Linked DNA regions of Astyanax mexicanus. The protein of the gene in region 2 binds, or shares a complex with, the protein of the main gene of each other region. Links are inferred from orthologs where the notes say so. Each region holds a gene or a part of one and is shown on either strand. Other genes may lie near its edges.

What was found.
Region 1: the proteins of dffb (region 2) and dffa are in contact, whole or in part, in an NMR structure (PDB 1F2R), measured with the Mus musculus proteins. The link is inferred for Astyanax mexicanus from reciprocal best matches to the Homo sapiens genes DFFB and DFFA. Residues at the interface, in NP_031885.3 of Mus musculus: Cys10, Lys12, Arg14, Ala19, Cys20, Lys21, Phe22, Gly23, Val24, Ala25, Ala26, Arg39; in NP_001020467.1 of Mus musculus: Asp66, Thr68, Ile69, Val70, Asp71, Asp72, Asp74, Tyr75, Trp94, Tyr96, Asp100.

The regions. Positions count from the first base shown.
Region 1 is NC_064420.1:41,388,358-41,397,815, reverse strand, and holds the start of dffa (DNA fragmentation factor subunit alpha), read right to left. Parts: upstream 4,034-9,458; 5' UTR 3,893-4,033; coding exon 3,802-3,892; intron 1,343-3,801; coding exon 1,184-1,342; intron 1,102-1,183; coding exon 941-1,101; intron 1-940. UniProt on the Homo sapiens protein: Inhibitor of the caspase-activated DNase (DFF40).
Region 2 is NC_064419.1:50,210,874-50,219,933, reverse strand, and holds the start of dffb (DNA fragmentation factor subunit beta), read right to left. Parts: upstream 4,249-9,060; 5' UTR 4,198-4,248; coding exon 4,066-4,197; intron 2,934-4,065; coding exon 2,801-2,933; intron 1,909-2,800; coding exon 1,714-1,908; intron 624-1,713; coding exon 544-623; intron 1-543. Other genes in the region: ifrd2 (interferon-related developmental regulator 2), read right to left, coding at 8,259-8,339. UniProt on the Homo sapiens protein: Nuclease that induces DNA fragmentation and chromatin condensation during apoptosis. Degrades naked DNA and induces apoptotic morphology.

The DNA.
Region 1 (9,458 bases), on a different chromosome or scaffold from region 2:
TTTAGAACAGAGGAACAGGCTAATACACACAGACAAATCATAGTGTATTCATTCTTGGCCGGGCTCACTTGAAAAAATGATTTGACAGCAAAGTTTTAAAGGAAAAGTTAAACAATTTAAAAAGTATTTTTAAAAAGTAGCTACCAAACAAAATACATGAGTTTATAATTTACAAAAAAAATATTCACTAGTTTTAAATAACAGAGAATCTTACCTAACTAAGATTTTATTATTTATAGAAGACCAGATAGGATAGTTATCAGTTAACTCATCTCTATCCCTATTTAAAACTGGGCTGGTATATAAAGACTTCATACTGTCTGTTTTGTACATGTTTGACCTGTGGTAAATTACAATAATATTATTTAATCATTAATCATTTATTTATTTAAATGCTAGACCTTTTTTAAAGCAACTTCATTATGCTTCTGAATAAAAAACTGTTAATTGTTAATTATTTACCTTGCAGGATTTGCAATTAAATAAATCAACAAACAGATTTTAAGATGGATGTTAAGCAAGCAAAATAAAAAATAAACTTTTAATCTTTTATTTTTTTTTTTTTTTTACTTATTTAGCTGAACAGCAAATCATTTATACCAAAACCATAATTTTATATAACACTACAGTGTTCTTCTAAAACGATACATTGTGAATGTTCTTTGTAATTTTAAAACCAATCTAACTTAGTTTAATCAAACTTTATATTTTCTTTCCTCTCTTTTCTCCTAAATCAAATGTGGTGGGCTAAAAAACTGCATTGTGATTTGATGGTATGTCTTCTAGAATTTAAAAAATCTTAAATGAACAATCACAATTTTAAGCCACAAATGCTGTTATGGCTATTTCTTTAACTCTGTGAAGTAGATTTACAGGAACTGAAAGTGTAAAGTATGATATGTCCACATGATCAGAATCTGAAGGTTCTGCTTAAACTGACCTGTAGGTCTGCCTCGGACATGAGAATGATGTTGGCCAGGTTCTGTTTGAGTTTGTCTGCTACCGTACGCCAGGGTTCCACACCATTGTCCATCCCACTGTCCACTGCGTCTGTCTCCATCTCGACAGTCTCTGATCTGAGCCATGCTGTGCCTCCGTCATCTACAGAGAACAACACAGCTGATCAGGATCTGAGATTACATTCATTTACAGAGGAAATGCTTTCCTGCAAATATAAGCTTACATCTTCTAGCAGGGGTCCACACCTCACCAGTACATAACAACATGAATTTGGTGTTTGGGGGCAGACACAAGAAGTAGGTCTCATCTTTCACAAAAGTGCCATCATCTTCCAGCACCACTGATACTGAGGAATCAGGCTTAAATTCCAGTGTTTCACTGCCTACAGGAGGAATAAAAAAATGATATTAATTTAAGTATTAAAGCTCAGATAAGACAACCATATTCTCCATACTTGTGCTGAAGAAGGAAAGATTAAAGGTCTTGCTTAAGGGCCCAACCCTCGAATCTTGCATCAATTGTTTTTTTTATGAAAAAGTTTATAAAGAGTTGTTTTAAATGCTAATAGAATAGCAATGAGCTAATGAGCAAATCATCTAATTTGACAGGGGTGCTCAAACATTTTCATGCAGATAACTTTTATATGCTACTACATTTTCATAAAAATATCTGCAGGTAAACAATATTAAAGTAATTTTCTTTCTGAAATGATTGTATGCCACTGATTTAGGTCAATAATAATGATAATAATAACAATAATAATAATAATAATAACAATAGCATAAAATGCAATTAAATATTTTTAAAAAGCAAAAATATTTGATGATTAAGATAATTCTAACTTTGGAATTGGAATACAAAAATATTAAACATACAGCACCTGTTAAAACTTTTGACACACCTTTTCTCATTTAATGTGTTTTCTTCCATTCTATTGTAAATTTAATATTTAAGATATTAAAGCTATACAATAAACATATGCAATATACCACATGTAGCTTTGAGGACAGACCTGCACACTCTTTGGTATTTTAATCTCAGTGTCTTCATTAAGGAAGAGTCACCTGAAATAGTTTTCTCAGCATCTTGAAGGAGTTCCTAGAGGTGCTCAACAATAGTTGCTGCTTTTCCCAAAGCTCATCCCAAATAACTACCTCATTTGGGATTTTTATTTTCTAAGTAATTCCCTATGTGTCCTTTAATTGTTTTAATTGTCTTTAATATTAATCTACAATGTAGAAAATAAATAAAAAAGAAAAACATTGAATTATAAGGTGTGTCCAAACTTTTGACTGATACTGTATATTTTACATAAAAATCCAGATTGTTCATGTTAATACATTTTACTTGAGTGTTTTTTTTACACTCAAGTAAAAACAGAGGGTAACATTATGTTCAAACTTAGTTTATATATTGTTTTCTTGATGAGTTGATAATGTAATTATTGTGAGGGGCCTACATATAGCTGTTTACATTGGTCAGTACTTAATCAGTTTAAAATATAGCCATAAACAAAGAAAAATAAAAGAAGGGAAAAGAACTGGAAAGAAAACAAGAAGAAGAGTAGGAGAAGAGTGGTTTTACAAGCTCTTCAGTGTGATTTTGTTGTTTTCACTTTCTGTCCTTTCTTAAGGTGCCCCTAAGGTAACATAATGTAAAAAAATAACAATAATAATAATAATAATAATAATAATAATAATAATAATGAGTGGCTACAACTTATTAATGAGATATAAGGTAAATGGATACTGCATACTGTCTGTGTCTGAGCCCATAAGCTTTTAGAATGAGAATAAAGTGTCTTTTAATTAGAATTACGCCATGTCTCACCACAAGAGACTCAAAAATATCGCCATAATTAATTCCAAAATAAAAATACAATTTACAGAAAAAAAAGTTGTATTGTTATTTTCTGGTTACGACTTAATTATCTCATTCCCATGCCTTAGGATCTCATTTTCACGCCTTAATTAAATTATTTAGACGTGGAAAAGTGATCCTAATGAATGGGAACAAGATGATTTAGTCATAGGCACGACTTAAGATGTGGGAATGAGATAATAAGAGAATAATAAAACTTGCTTTCCTGTAAATTAATTTCCATGAAGAAACTGAACATTACATCAAAGCTCTAATCCAAGGATAATCTTTAGTAAGAAAAGAGTGAATTGGTTTCTTTTTATTTTCATCTTGGAATTAATTATGGGGATATTTTGGAGTCTTTTGCAGTAAAATAACTAAAATGTTCTGTGTAAAATTAAGCTTGGGTTTTATTCTAGAGTAGAATAAAGCGCAGGCTTCCTCATGTAATTTTTTTTTACCTTATGATACTTCATTAGCTAGATATCTCTCAGTATTTTATATTTCTCAGTGTCGTGGCCACGCATTATTATATATATATATATTTTTTACGTGATCTGATCTTTGGGGCTCCGTACTTTGTATTGAACAGAAATAATCAAATACTAATAATCAAATACTAAGAGATACTTAGCTATAATCAAGTATAATGAAGTAAATAATGAGTTTACCTGAGAAAGTCTACTCTTTAATCATCTCTAGAAAGAAATTCAAGCTTTATTTTACACAGAATATTTAGTTATTTAGGGTAAAAGAAATCTTGGAATTTTCTATTGCACCTTAAAAAAGTGCTGCAGTTGCAATGTTTAACTGCTTCTTCCCCATTCTTCAAATTCAGAATGTAGCTTAACTAAACTACTGCACTTTTTTTTAAGGTGGAACGGATATATGGAATAAAAAAGGCAATCTTTAGCCTGATCTAAAGTTTGGGAGCAGTTTAAATATAAAATTCAACTGCTAAACGAGGCGAAACTAACTCACCCTTTATCTTCAGCTGATCCAGAGAGGACACTGCCACCCCTACACACCTCTGCCGGCTGTAGTTACACACTTTACAGGGTCTTACAGACATATTAGCTTTTTGTTTTTATCAGGGTTATCCTCAGCTGTGTGTTTAAAGTGTTAATATATCCATTAACATCAGACCGTAGTCCACACTGTGACAGATAGCTGCTGTTTTGTTTTCGTTTCAGCTCTTCTTCTTTGGAATTGATTGGAGCACAGTGGTGCAGAATATCACCCCCTACAGGCACTACAGCCTTACTACAGCCGTAGGTTACAAGGCTGTGCACATTTCTACTTTTCAGAATTTAATTCAGTTTAACCCCTTTAACAGGCCTTGGCCCATGCACAGGCTACAAGTGTAGGTGATACAGAACCAATTTTCTCTGTTGTACAATTTATTTACATTCTAAAAACATTAAACACTTAAATAATTTGCTTGTTCACTCTTTACTTCACTTAATTTCAGATCAGTAAGAAACAGGGCTGGACTGGGACAAAAAAATCGGCCCTGGCATTTTTGGTTTAGACAGGCCCCTCATAATTAGCAGAGCACAACCAACTTGTAATTTATGTATGTGGGGTTACAGAGAAGCATAATGTATCATCAGCATATTAACTATTATTATCTATTATTAACTCCACCATTTTTGTCTGCTCTGTGTAGTTCAACTGATTTTTTATCCTTTTTATTGAAATCATCTCTAATATGTATTTTGGGTTTTTTCTTTGATATAACAAATAAAATAATTCTTTTTTTTTAGGTTAAAGGTGCTTCCTCCTTTAAACAGCTATAACATGTATTTGTAAAAGTCTACAAACGGGCATTCTGTATAGCCTTACCATTATCAACTTCATAATCAAAATTTAACTTAATTATAATAATGTTTTGTTTTTTGAGATGGAATGTTGTAATGGGGCTCGAGAGAGAGAGAGAGAGAGCGAGAAAAAGAGAGAGACAGTCCGAGAGAGCGACGGAGAAAAAGAGAGAGAGAGAGCGAGAGACAGAGAAAAAAAAGGTAGAGAGCGAGAGAAAAAGAGAGACAGAGAGGCTGCCCTTCTTACGATAAAAAAGTGATGGAGATCAAGCTAGAGTACCCCTTCTTGCAACAAATTATGATGATGTGCCTTAGATCAAGATATTTTAATAATGTCTTAATCTTAATTAGTGGCCATCTGTGAGTGACCCTTGTTGTCCTTCCAGTCAAAAATGGTTCTGTTATGAAGCACATCTTAGGCCACACCAACTAGACATTGTTTTAAAGTGTATAAAATGTGATGCAGTGCTGTATAGGACTCTCTAACGATAGGACAGACTGTACTTTACCATCATGTTGGTAAAAGAAAATTGCTGTAAAAAAAATCCCCATTGTTAAAGTTGTATCTATTCCATCCATTTTAGTTTTTTTTTTTGTCATGCATTAAGTACCTTTTTATTCACTCATAATATTAGATCTACAAATCTTGCCATGATCCAAACTGCAGGATATATTTATCCAGCATGGTGTTGTTGAAGTTAATCATGACTGAATGATGGAACAGTAGTAATATTTATAGGGTCTTAGTTATCCGGTGATCTACACAAAATCTTTTTTTTTTTTTTTTTTTTTTTTTACTTTTCCTTTCCCACAACATGAAATGCAATCTTTATAGGGATGTAAGAATGATACTAAGGTATGGAGACCTCTATTGAAGTACTTGGTTAAATAATGCCGACACAAAATGTTTATTATGTTTATTTAATAAGAATATTAAGGTTGAGAGACAGTGGTGTTATGGACTATACATTTTTTTAAAGACCCAGATCAGGGACCAAGATTCCACTCTAGAAGATCTAATAGAACACTAATATACAGGAGGGAAAAACCAGGATTCCTGTAGAAAACAAAGAACAGGAGAGACAAAGACAAAGAGCAAGAGACCACAAGCAAAATGTTCACCTAAATCTGTAAATCTAATAATTTGCACCGGTACCCCACTGTTCTCAGCAGACCAGGCCACTATTCCCTCTGTCAGAAAAAAGTCATAATCCAATTAAACATCACCCTCACAGTCTAGCAAGCTCACATAATATAACATCGAACAACTGGGGGGTTATACACAAGACCTCAACTCTACACAAGTACTTTACTCTCCCACTCAATCATAATTAAATCCATGACTAAATTACAACTAATATAACATTAAACACCTAACCTTCCCTTTACCCACACAATAATCACTAATCACTATGTAGCAAGCTCTTCACATGGGACATCAGGTAGGCACTTCTTTAACTACCTACCTACCTTTTTTATCTAACTACCAACCCCTTTACCTACCTACCTATTTAACTATCTACTTACCTTTTTATCTAACTACCAACCCCATTACCTACCTACCTATTTACCTACCTCTTTAACTACCTACCTACCTGTTTAGCTAACTACCAACCCCTTTACCTACCTACCTACCTATTTGACTAACTACCTACCTTTTTATCTAACTACAACCCCATTACCTACCTATCTATTTGCCTAACTACCTACCTCTTTAACTACCTACCTGTTTACCCAACTACCAACCCCATTCCCTACCTACCTATTTAACTACCTACCTACCTTTTTACTTAACTACCAACCCCATTCCCTATCTACCTATTTAACTACCTACTTCCATGAATACCTACCTACATTTTTACCTAACTACCAACCCCATTACCTACCTACCTCTTTACCTACCTCTTTAACTACCTACTTCTTTAACTACCTACCTTTTTACCTACCTACAACCCCTTTACCTACCTACCTCTTCAAATACTTATCCTATATTTTTATCTAACTACCAACCTCTTTACCTACCTACCTATTTGACTAACTACCTACCTTTTTATATAACTACCAACCCCATTACCTACCTACCTATTTAACTACCTACCTACCTTTTTAATTAACTACCAACCCCTTTTACCTACATACCTCTTGAACTACCTACCTACCAACCTACCTTCCTATTTACCTAGCTCTTTAACTATCTACCTCTTAAACTACCTACCTACCTACCTCTTAACTACCTACCTACATCTTTAACTACCTAACTCTTTAACTCCCTTCCTAGCTTTTTACCTAACCTCCAACTCCATTACCTACATACCTACCTCTTTTACTACATTCCTACCTGTTTACCTAACTACCAACCCTATTACCTACCTACCTATTTAACTACCTACCTTTTTAACCTAACTACCAACCCCATTACCTTCCTACCTATTTAACAACTTACCTACCTTTTTACATAACTACCAACCCCATTACCTACCTACCTATTTAACTACCTTCCTACTTCTTTACCGAACTACCAACCTACCTACCTCTTTAACTCCCTTTCTAGCTTTTTACCTAACCTCCAACTCCATTACCTACATACCTACCTCTTTACCTACCTTTCTACCTATTTACCTAACTACAAACCTGATTAACTACCTATTTAACTACCTACCTACCTTTTTACCTTACTACCAACCCCATTACCTACCTACCTCTTTTACTACGTTCCTACCTGTTTACCTAACTACCAACCCCATTACCTACCTACCTACCTCTTTTACTACGTTCCTACCTGTTTACCTAACTACCAACCCTATTACCTACCTACCTATTTAACTACCTACCTTTTTAACCTAACTACCAACCCCATTACCTACCTACCTATTTAACTACCTACCTACCTTTTTACCTAACTACCAACCCCATTACCTACCCTCCTATTTAACTACCTACCTACCTTTTTACCTAACTACCAACCCCATTACCTACCCTCCTATTTAACTACCTACCTACATTTATACCTAATTAACAACCCCATTACCTACCTACCTATTTAACTACCTACCTACCTTTTTACCAAAAATACCAACCCCATTATCTACCTACCTCTTTTACTAGCTTTCTACCTTTTTACCTAACTACCAACCCCATTACCTACCTACCTATTTAACTACCTACCTTTTTAACCTAACTACCAACCCCATTACCTACCTACCTTTTTAACTACCTACCTACCTCTTTACCTCACTACCAACCCCATTACCTACTTACCTATTTAAAGACCTACCTACCTTCTTACCTAACTACCAACCCCGTTACCTACCTACTTATTTAACTACTTACCTACATTTTTACCAAACTACCAACCCCATTACCTACCTACCTCTTTAACTCCCTTCCTAGCTTTTTACCTAACCTCCAACCCCATTATCTACGTACCTACCTCTTTTTCTACGTTCCTACCTGTTTACCTAACTACCGACCCTATTACCTACCTACCTATTTAACTACCTACCTTTTTACCTAACTACCAACCCCATTACCTACCTACCTCTTTACATACCACTTTAACTACCTTCCTACCTGTTTACCTAACTACCAACCCCATTACCTACCTACCTACTTCTTTAACTACCTAACTACCTTTTTACCTAACTACCAACCCCATTACATACCTACCTATTTAACTACTTACCTACATTTTTACCAAACTACAACCCTATTACCTACCTACATATTTAACTACCTTCCTATCTCTTTACCTAACTACCAACCCCATTAGCTACTTACCTATTTAACTACTTACATACCTTTTTACCTAGCCATCAACCCAATTACCTACCTACCTCTTTAACTACCTTCCTACATGTTTACCTAACTACCAACCCCATTACCTACCTACCTACCTCTTTAACTACCTACCTACCTTTTTACCTAACTACCAACCCCATTACCTACCTACCTATTTAAGTACCTACCTACCTTTTTACCAAACTACCAACCCCATTACCTACCTACCTCTTTACCAACCCCTTTAACTATCTTTCTACCTGTTTACCTAACTACCAACCTGATACTTACCTACCTACCTCTTTACCTACATTTTTAACTACCTACCTACCTTTTTACCTAACCACCAACCTCATTACCTACCTACCTTTTTACCTACATTTTTAACTACCTACCTTTTTACCTAACTACAAACCCCATTACCTACCTACCTCTTTACCTACATTTTTAACTACCTACCTACATTTTACCTAACTACCAACCCAATTACCTACCTCTTTACATACATTTTTAACTACCTACCTACCTTTTTACTTAACTACCAACCCCATTACCTACATACCTATTTAACTACCTACCTTTTTTACCAAAACTACCAACCCCATTATCTACCTACCCATTTAACTACCTTCCAACCTCTTTACCTAACTACAACCCCATTACCTACCTACCTATTTAACTACTTTCCTACCTCTTTACTGAACTACCAACCCCATTACCTACCTACCTCTTTGCCTACTTCTTTAACTACCTTCCTACCTGTTTTCCTAATTACCAACTTCATGACCTAACTACATTTTTAACTACCTACCTACCTCTTTACCTACCTCTTTAACAATCTACATACCTGTTAACCCAACTACTAACATATTACCTACCTACCTACCTATTTAACTACCAGCCTACATACCTACCTACCTACCTGTTTACCTAAGTACCAACCCCATTACCTACCTATCTATTTAACTACTTACCTACCTTTTTACTTAACCATCAACCCCATTACCTACCTACCTATTTAACTACCTACCTACTTCTTCA
Region 2 (9,060 bases):
CAGGGTATTTCTGCAATAATGTTAATCTTAGCAATAAATAAAAATAATATATCATTTTTTTTTTTTACTAATTTAAAGAACATACTCCTGCAACCAAATCAACATTAAAATTGATTTGAGTAAATTAATAAATAATAATACAGTTTTCAGTACAGAATACTGAATATGCTTTTCTAAATTACATTATAACTGTCACCATACATTAGGAAACAAAACAATGACACACCCCTAGTAACAATAATATATATTGCATATTGATGCTGTCCACTAAAAAAATAAAATAAAAATAAATTAATAAATTATCAATTACTAGCTTTTCACATGATAAAAAATAAAATACAATTAAATATATATATATATATATATATATATATATATATATATATATATATATTCCTTACACCATGTAAAGATAATAATGTTACAATAGCGAAGTATTTTAGTGTTCCACTGATGCAGGATACTGATAACATTTAGTAATTATCATTTAGTTTGTTTGACTAATATTAAAAAATCTAATATATTAATGAAAATGAATCCTACCTCCTTCAGGTAGCCTCGTATCCTCTGTTCACAGTTAAATCTCATATACGCAGATTTAGTCTTAAACCTCGAATCAATACCTGAAAAATAAGAGATTCATAATGAAGTGATTTTCTTCAATGGAAATAATTAAATTATTATTTCTATAATACTGGTGTTAAAAAAATAAAATAAGCTAACATCCATCCATGGCTGTGAGTCTTTTATTTTAAAGATGAGAGAGAGAGAGAGAGTATAAAACAAGAGCCAGATTTTTAACTATTTGTGGTGAAAAACATTTTTTTTGTTTTGTTTTTATAAGCAGGTCAGCTAGAAAATCATTTTCAGTGCCTTTGAATATGAAATATGAGTTTTTAGTGCTGCTGAGTTGCTGGGCTAATAGCTACTCCATGTGTGAGCAGAAAGATGCACTCTGGAGAGGGATATCCGGTTAATGGCGTTAAAGTCTTAATTCCTTTTTATCCACAAAACACATAATTAAGTTCCTACAGTGATCCTCATACAAAACTGCTGTATAAAATTGCCCAAATATGATCTGGTAAGTTTGCAGGATCAGTTTATTAGAGAAATAACCACTGATTACCATGACTCCTGGTGCCAGCTGCTGCACTATGTGAAGTCTATGTATTTATATGTCTATGTTATTATCAGTACAGTGATGGCGGCGCTCGGAGCTGAAGCTATAGGAGTTATAGGATGTAAACAGTGTTTTTTAATAAACTTCTTTTTAAGCACTTTTTAAGTTATTAATGCCTCATTTTAAATATCAGGACTCTCCTTTTGGATTCTAGTAAGGAGATGTGGAGCTACTTTGAGCTGGATAACGGTGTAAAAAGTGATTTATCAGGGTAAATTATGCCCCGTATCTCCCAGTCTGAAGGGTGTTTGTTGGATACACTTAAAATTTCTGGATCTCTGAACGCTGTGGGAGAGCGGAGGTGTGCTATTCATCAAAGATAAGAATTTTTATCATGTTTTACTGCAATAAAAGTACATTTTACACCAGAGTTCTGCTTTAATATACAATACAGAACATTTTAAAATAAGGAAAAAACTCTGAATTGACTGATGAATGGGTTCATCTCTTCTATTTTCCTATACTGCAGTTTTATCGTCCTCTAAACACTTTTATAATCACTGCTGTAACTTTAACTGATTATTTATTATTACCCTGAAACCAGTCCTGGTCCTGGGTGCGGTTCTCCAGCTCGGCGCTGTCCGTCAGGTTGTTCAGCAGATCTCCCAGCAGTTTCCTCCTCTTAGCTGGAAGCTCCTCGCCGTCGTCCGTCAGCAGACGCTTCGCCGCGCTGATGAGCTCGTCTGAGTGACGGTCTGAACCCAGAACCTGCCTGATATCATACAGCACTGCGGGGAGGAGATTCATAAGAGATTAATATCAAAAATTCATAGAAAAGATAAAAATCTGTTTTAGAAGAATGAAAAAAAAGAGAATAAAAAGTGCATATCTGACAGAAGATCCTACTAATCTAATTTATTGAAAGATTAGGGGGGAAAAAATGTCAAAGTAAAAATTCCCTTTTGACACACTGAAACATTCTGGATTATCTATATTTATCACAAAACAGTTCATTTCAGGCAAAAATTTGGCATCTGTCATCACACAATACATTAAGATCATTACGCAAGAAATATTACTTCACGTTATCGGCGCTAGAGATCAGAGACAAAATTTTAAAAACAAATAACATTAGTTTTTATCCTCCTGTATACAAACAATACAATTAAAGTTTTCTCCTGAGAAATTATCTGTAGCATCTATTTATTTATTTAACATCTAACTTACATACTCTTCACAGTTTACCATTTTTTATTAAATTAACAGCTTAAATAAAACAACAGTTCTATTGAAACAAATAATATTAAATAAAACCTTCCGTGGTCAGCGTCTTCTTTTTTCACCATACAAATAATACTTCAACAAGTATCAGTTTCATATATCTAGAAATTGTTAGAAACCATTGATTTTATATCATAAATAATAATTATTATAATAAAAAAAAAATTATCACCCACTAAAAATAATAAATACTGATAAATCCATCACTGCACATCCCTAGATTAAACATCAAGATAATGGGAATTTGAGATTTTGGTAATATTACCCCAGCCCGTGGGGAAAACCTGCCTATTGTTTATTATTTTGTCAAAACGCAAAATTATATATTTAATTATGTTTTAAGTAGAATTTATGATTTTTTTATGCTATTATTTAGATATTATTTAAACAGAGACTCACAGCCGCTCCGGCTCTGACCCTCAGAGATCAGCAGGACCTCAGTGTTCTCCGGAACATACTGAAAATAATCCTCCGTTATCCGCGTCCCGTCCTCATACAGACAACACTGCAGCTTCTGCTTACAGCCAGAGACCTAATAACACACAATCAATCAATTAATCACTCAAACAATCAATTAAACAAATTAAACAATCAGCCAAACAGCCAATTAAACGGTCAACCAATTAATTAACCAATCAACCGGACAATTAATCAATCAAACAGTCAATCAGCCAGTAAAACAGCTAATAAAAAAAATCAATCAGCCAGACAATAAATCAATCAGGCACTTAAACAGTCAATCAATCAAATCAAGAAATGAAACAAACAAAACGGTAAAAAAGGAAGGAAAAGTGAAACGTTTCTGAGCAGCAGCACTGAGAGCGGAACCAGGTGTTCCGTCGAGTTGCGCTACCCGTCCTTATATGACACCTACGGACACTGCGCATGCGCTGACCCATGTGTGTTTGATTCACAGTTTAAGTTTTTTTTCCTTTAGGTAAATACGGGTTTTCTCTGGTATTTTACACAGTCTAAACTTGCTGTTACTGTATTTGTGAGTGTTATAAAACATAAGTGGTTTTATAAGCGATTATCTCAAAAACGTAATCTTTACCCTGTATTTCTGTTGGGAACATCTGATATAATGTGTTCAGTCTGTGCTGCTTTATCTAAGAAACTTTAGCAGAGCTAGTAATAAATAAAGTTGATATTATCGCTGTCTAATAAAAAAGTATATTTAAAACAGCAGCTTTACAGGAGAGAGATAAAAATCTTCTAAACTTTCAATGGAAGTCAATGTAAAAAGAGTTTATTTCAGCTCATTTTTGGTTTAGTTCAGAAAGGGGCAGTTTCTCTGTTTAAATTATGTAGTAAACTAAAAATCCACACAAATGAGAAACTTGTTTTTCATTCGACAACAACAATATAACGTTAGACCTGTTAATGCAGAAACATGACTCCGTCCGAACTAAACAAGGGGTAAATTAGTTAGTTAACAAACATTCAGAGCTTCTCATTATCTCGGGGGGTTATTACACGCTCACGATATAACAGAACTGGCTCTGTTTTTACACGAGTTATTTAGTTTTATCGTATAAACAGTGAGTTTTACCGAGTACTGCTGATCTACACTATGGTAGCGGGATTCGGCAGGCTAACTCAAACAGACAGGGCACCGGAAGTAAAGCAGAACAGAACAAAGCGGTTGTTTTATTCTAACTTACCTTAAATAATTCGCTTCCCTTCTGGATCAGCTCCTTCAGTGTAAACGCGGCTACTCCGAATTTCTCAGCCCGTCCGGATATCCGCACTTTAAACAGTTTGGGTTTCCCCGCGCGCGGCGTCCGAGGCGGCATGCTGCTCCCGCTGCTCCCGCTCTCCGGTACCGGTCTGTAGTACAAACAACCAAACAGCGCAGAGTACCGAGTAGCGCCCCCAGCGGCACTGCAGTGTAACTACACTACACCCCCAGCGGCACTGCAGTTCTTATAGAGCGATAATAGATGTATTTTTCTCGAAAGCAGTTTAATATTAAAGTTATTTTGTAGTTTAAATGCAGCACCAAATATTAGGAGCTTAAGTTCTGTTGTAGATTTATTGTTACATTACATTGTTTTTATGTAACATTATTTATTTTGTAATTTTACATTTATTATTTTATACAAAATCAGAGAGCTGGTAAGTTATTGTTGATCACAAAACAAACATTAATTTTTTTGTTGTTTTTACAAACTAAAAATTTAATGTTTATTTAGTTGCAGGAGTATATTGTTGAAATCAAAAATCATAAATTATTTATAATAAAATATTTTGCCAAGAATATTATCTCAAAAATACCCTCAAATATCATATCATACCATCATATCGGCCAGCCATAGACAGTAGCATACTCATAAATAAGCAAAATATTTTTATCTTTAAAAACCCTGATATTTTAAGCCCATATTCAATTTTGTTTGTGTGGATTATTCTCAAAATGATTATTTTCAGAAAGTTACCTCATGTATATTTATAGCACTAAACTATTAACTTATTTTTATATATGGTATAGAAGATATTAGGTAATTTGTGGTTAAAATAAATCAAATAACAAAGAGACACAAAATGAAATAAAATATTTGTATATTTTTTATTGAAAGCCATAATTGATGTTTAACCCTCTGGGTGCAGAAGTGTTTACATCTCACACAGTTAAAGGGATAATTCAATATTTCAGCATTCACATAATTCTCATTTTATCTATATTCCATCTATCCAAGGAAAAAACTAACATTTCCTGCAAAACTGTTTAATTATCCCTTTATGTTCTGGGGATAATAAAACATTTAATACATATTTGGGCTTCGGTTCAGATTCTGAAACTTGCTGTGAGGGAGAAAGGGTAGATAGCAGATCGATCCTATCCACACTGTTTATAGATCAGCTTTTATAAAATACAGGGCCAGACTTTATTATCTTAAAGGAAAACTTCTAATCGTTTCAGTCTGATCTGTATATTAAACGTCCATCACCACAGACAGAAACTGATTTACTATTTTACTCACAAAAGGCCTGAAAATAAACTCGCCTCAAAGGACTTTTATTATAGAAACCAATAAAGTAACAGCTGCTTTAGCTCCGCCCATCACTGGATCCTATTATTAACTGGCTTGAATCACTTTGTGTGTTTACAAACACATCAAAACAATCTGTTCATAATCAGATTACTGTCTTTAATAATTTATGTAGTAATTATGAAAAGCATTATACATTTCCTTACATCTAAAAAGCTCTAAAAATCCAATTAAGAATGACAACATCTGATGAAGAGAGCTGGATTTTAGATCAGAAATCAGATTGCTCATATTTTTCAGGGTAACATATAAAATCTGATTAATACATCTGATAAAGAGATTTGGATTTGAGCTCAGTAATCAGATTTTTTTCAGTGAATGTGAACTCTTAACTAGAGTATTCTGGGATTTTTCTGACTAAGGTATAAACATCTGATAGAGAGATGGATTTTAGCTCAATAATCAGATTTTTTTAAGATCAGACTTGGAAGTGGAAAAATCTGATTAAGAGAGCAGCTTTTTAATTCAGTATTCAGATTTTTTTTTTTTAGATAAAAGTAAGGTTTCAAAATCGGATTACTAAATCTGATAAACATGTATTTTAGCTTAGTAATTAGTAATATCTGATTACACAAATTTATGTAACTGCATTAATATGATAACTGACGAACTCTAATACCGATGTTCTACAGTAATCAGATTATGAAGGGCATGTAAATGCACTGTTTTTTTGTTTTGTTTTGTTATTTACTGCTGTAATCAGACCTGTGACGGGTAACGGGGTGTAGAAAATAGAAACAGTCTGATAAGGGATGAAGTTTTCCCTTAAAAACGTAATACTACTCAACACAACACTGAATCTCTCTCTCTTTTTCAGTCGATATCTGATACTGTGCGTAATCTGATAATATTCTGAATGGATTTAAATGCAGGATCCATTCAGGTTGACCTAATCCAATCATGCAACACCAGACCGGACGTTTTCAGGATTTGGAAAAGGGAAAGGCTCGATTCACACAGCAGGAGAAAATGATAAAAATCTGATATTTTTGGTCATGTGATACAGGTGTGTTATTGATGTGTAACAGCAAAAACTTAAGATTGAATCTATATAATCGATATTTAAAATTTAAGCCACTTCAACAAGTGTTACTGAAATCTGAATTACAGCAACGCGACTCAGTCTGAACATCCAGATCAGAATTAATGCATGAAAAATGGATGATCGCAGTGAGTGAGGGTTTCAGTTGTTAAATACTGAAATAACAGAACCACAATACTGTAATACTGTAAATTAGAAGGTATATATATAAAGCTCTGTAAAAAAAAAAAAAAAAAAGAACACTTAAAAATGATGAGTTTCTTTGATTTTACCAAATTAAAAACCTCTGGAATATAATCAAGAGGAAGATGGATGATCACAAACCATCAAACCATCAAACTGAACGTAAATCTAAAGTAAATTAACATCAGATTTGGTGAGAAAAATCAGATTTGAGCAGCTTTCACCTGCTGTGGGAATTTTTCGGAAGTTTAGAAAAGGTTGTTTGCAGTAAAAGGAAAAAAAAGACATTTATGTTTATATAATTATAATCTTCCTACAAATATTCAAGCATTTGTATTTTTTATGTTAAAGAGGAGATGCACGGTCAGCCTGTGTATAAAATATAGATAGAAAAACTAGAAATTCATTTCTATTCCTCGGCCGTTTCCCGCTCTGTTGATGTGTTTACGGCTCTTAATGTTAAAAAGTCTTTTCTGTTTTCCCAAAAACTCTCAATAAATTAGAAAGTAAGATACAATAACAGAAAAGCAGAACACAGCCATACGAGAGCGCGTCATAAATGCAGAATATTAAACTGTGTTTAAAGGAGCAATAAGCAGCATTTTCCATTTCTGTTTTTATTTATTTATTTTCCTTTTAGTTTTTTATTTTCTTCTCAAACCAACCCAATACATGCTGCTAATGCTGAAAAACAGCATGACCTACTGTACTCTCTCTCTCAGACTCCAGCTACTGATGGAAAAACAACGCAACCTACTGTCCATCAGCTGCCGGAGCCCTGAGAGAGCACAGTTGTCCTTGCTGTTTCTCTCTGGGTGGGTACAGTACAGTAGATGGCGCTCTCTCTTTCCCTTCATCACTCCTAGGGTGATGTGGATCAGCACGAGGCTGCGTCTGTGAGCTGATGTATCAGAACCGAGTCACTGCGCTTTCCTCCAAGTGTTCAAAAAAAAAAAGTTCAAAAAGAGGCGGAGTCTGACTTCACATGTATCGGAGGAGGCGTGTGCTGGTCTTCTTCACCCTCCTGGTGTTGGAGCATCACTAGTGATAGGGGGGGATATACAGCTGAGCAGGTAAGAGCTCGGTAGAATAGCTAAATTGAGGAGAAAAGTGAGATTAAAAAATGATTTTAAAATTCAAGATATGCATCGTAGGCCATAAGCATATCTGCCCCCTGCTGGCCGTAAGGCAAACGTAACAAATACTGCCCCCAGTGGCCACCTGTAGTAACGCAGTTTACACGGTAAAGGAAAATGCTGCTTACTGCTAAATTCATTATTAGGATTTTTAGGTTATTATTTTATCCAGTATTGTTAAATAAAACTGAGACACACACACACACACACACACACACATTCACTCATCTTGACACGTACACACACACACACACACACACACACACACACACACACACACACACTTGCATTGTCAAGTCCCTGGTTTGGCAGTCGCTGTTTAATCATTTCAAGTGAGCTGATAGGAGGGGTGTAGTGTTCCTCTCGTTCCCTGTATCTCTCCATCCTTTACATCATCCTCATCATCGTTATCATCATCTTCATCTTCAGGTCACCCATCTTCATCACATCACGTCCGCTCGTTTGTCCCTCACTTTGTTCCGTAGTTTAGTCCGAGCTTTAAACGCAGCGGAATTGAAAAGATGCTGCAAAAGAAGATTAAACATATGTGAGTTAAAATTAATATATTAATACACTATTATAAGGTGAATTTTGAGTTGCAGCATATTTACTTACTTTTACACTTATATAAAGCCTTTTTTGTTACTTAAGGACGATTAAAAAGTTGCATTCCACACACAAACACTGGTGAGAAGCAGCAGCCAATCACGCAAAGCATACTCTCAACCGGAAACCACCGTCCACCTGGAGGACTGAATGCAGCACTGAGTCGCTGTACACATTCACACACCAATTTCTCCAATTTACCTAATCTCTGATATTTGTCTAAATTTTATACAAACTCTGTGTAACAGAAATGTTTTTACATTTCCTCTAAATAAACACATTATTACGCATATAAAGGAATGTTCATCTTTACTTTAAACAACCTTTTACATTTTAATAATAATTTAAAAGAATTCTGCATTTTATACATTTATTTAACTATTTAAAAAATAATAATAAATAAATAAATAAAAACTTTTAAGTTGTCCACCATGTCACTGTAAAATATCCCAGTAATTGAATATGTGTAGAAAATCTAAATGTATCTATGAAACAGAATAAGAACAATCATGAATAAATCTATATGTCTGTAACTTTAGCTTAAACATGTTTCCATTAAATACCAATTTTCGCTAAAATCAGAGAGTAACTACTGTAACAGGGTGGATGCATGCATGACTGTAAATAAAAAGTAATGAA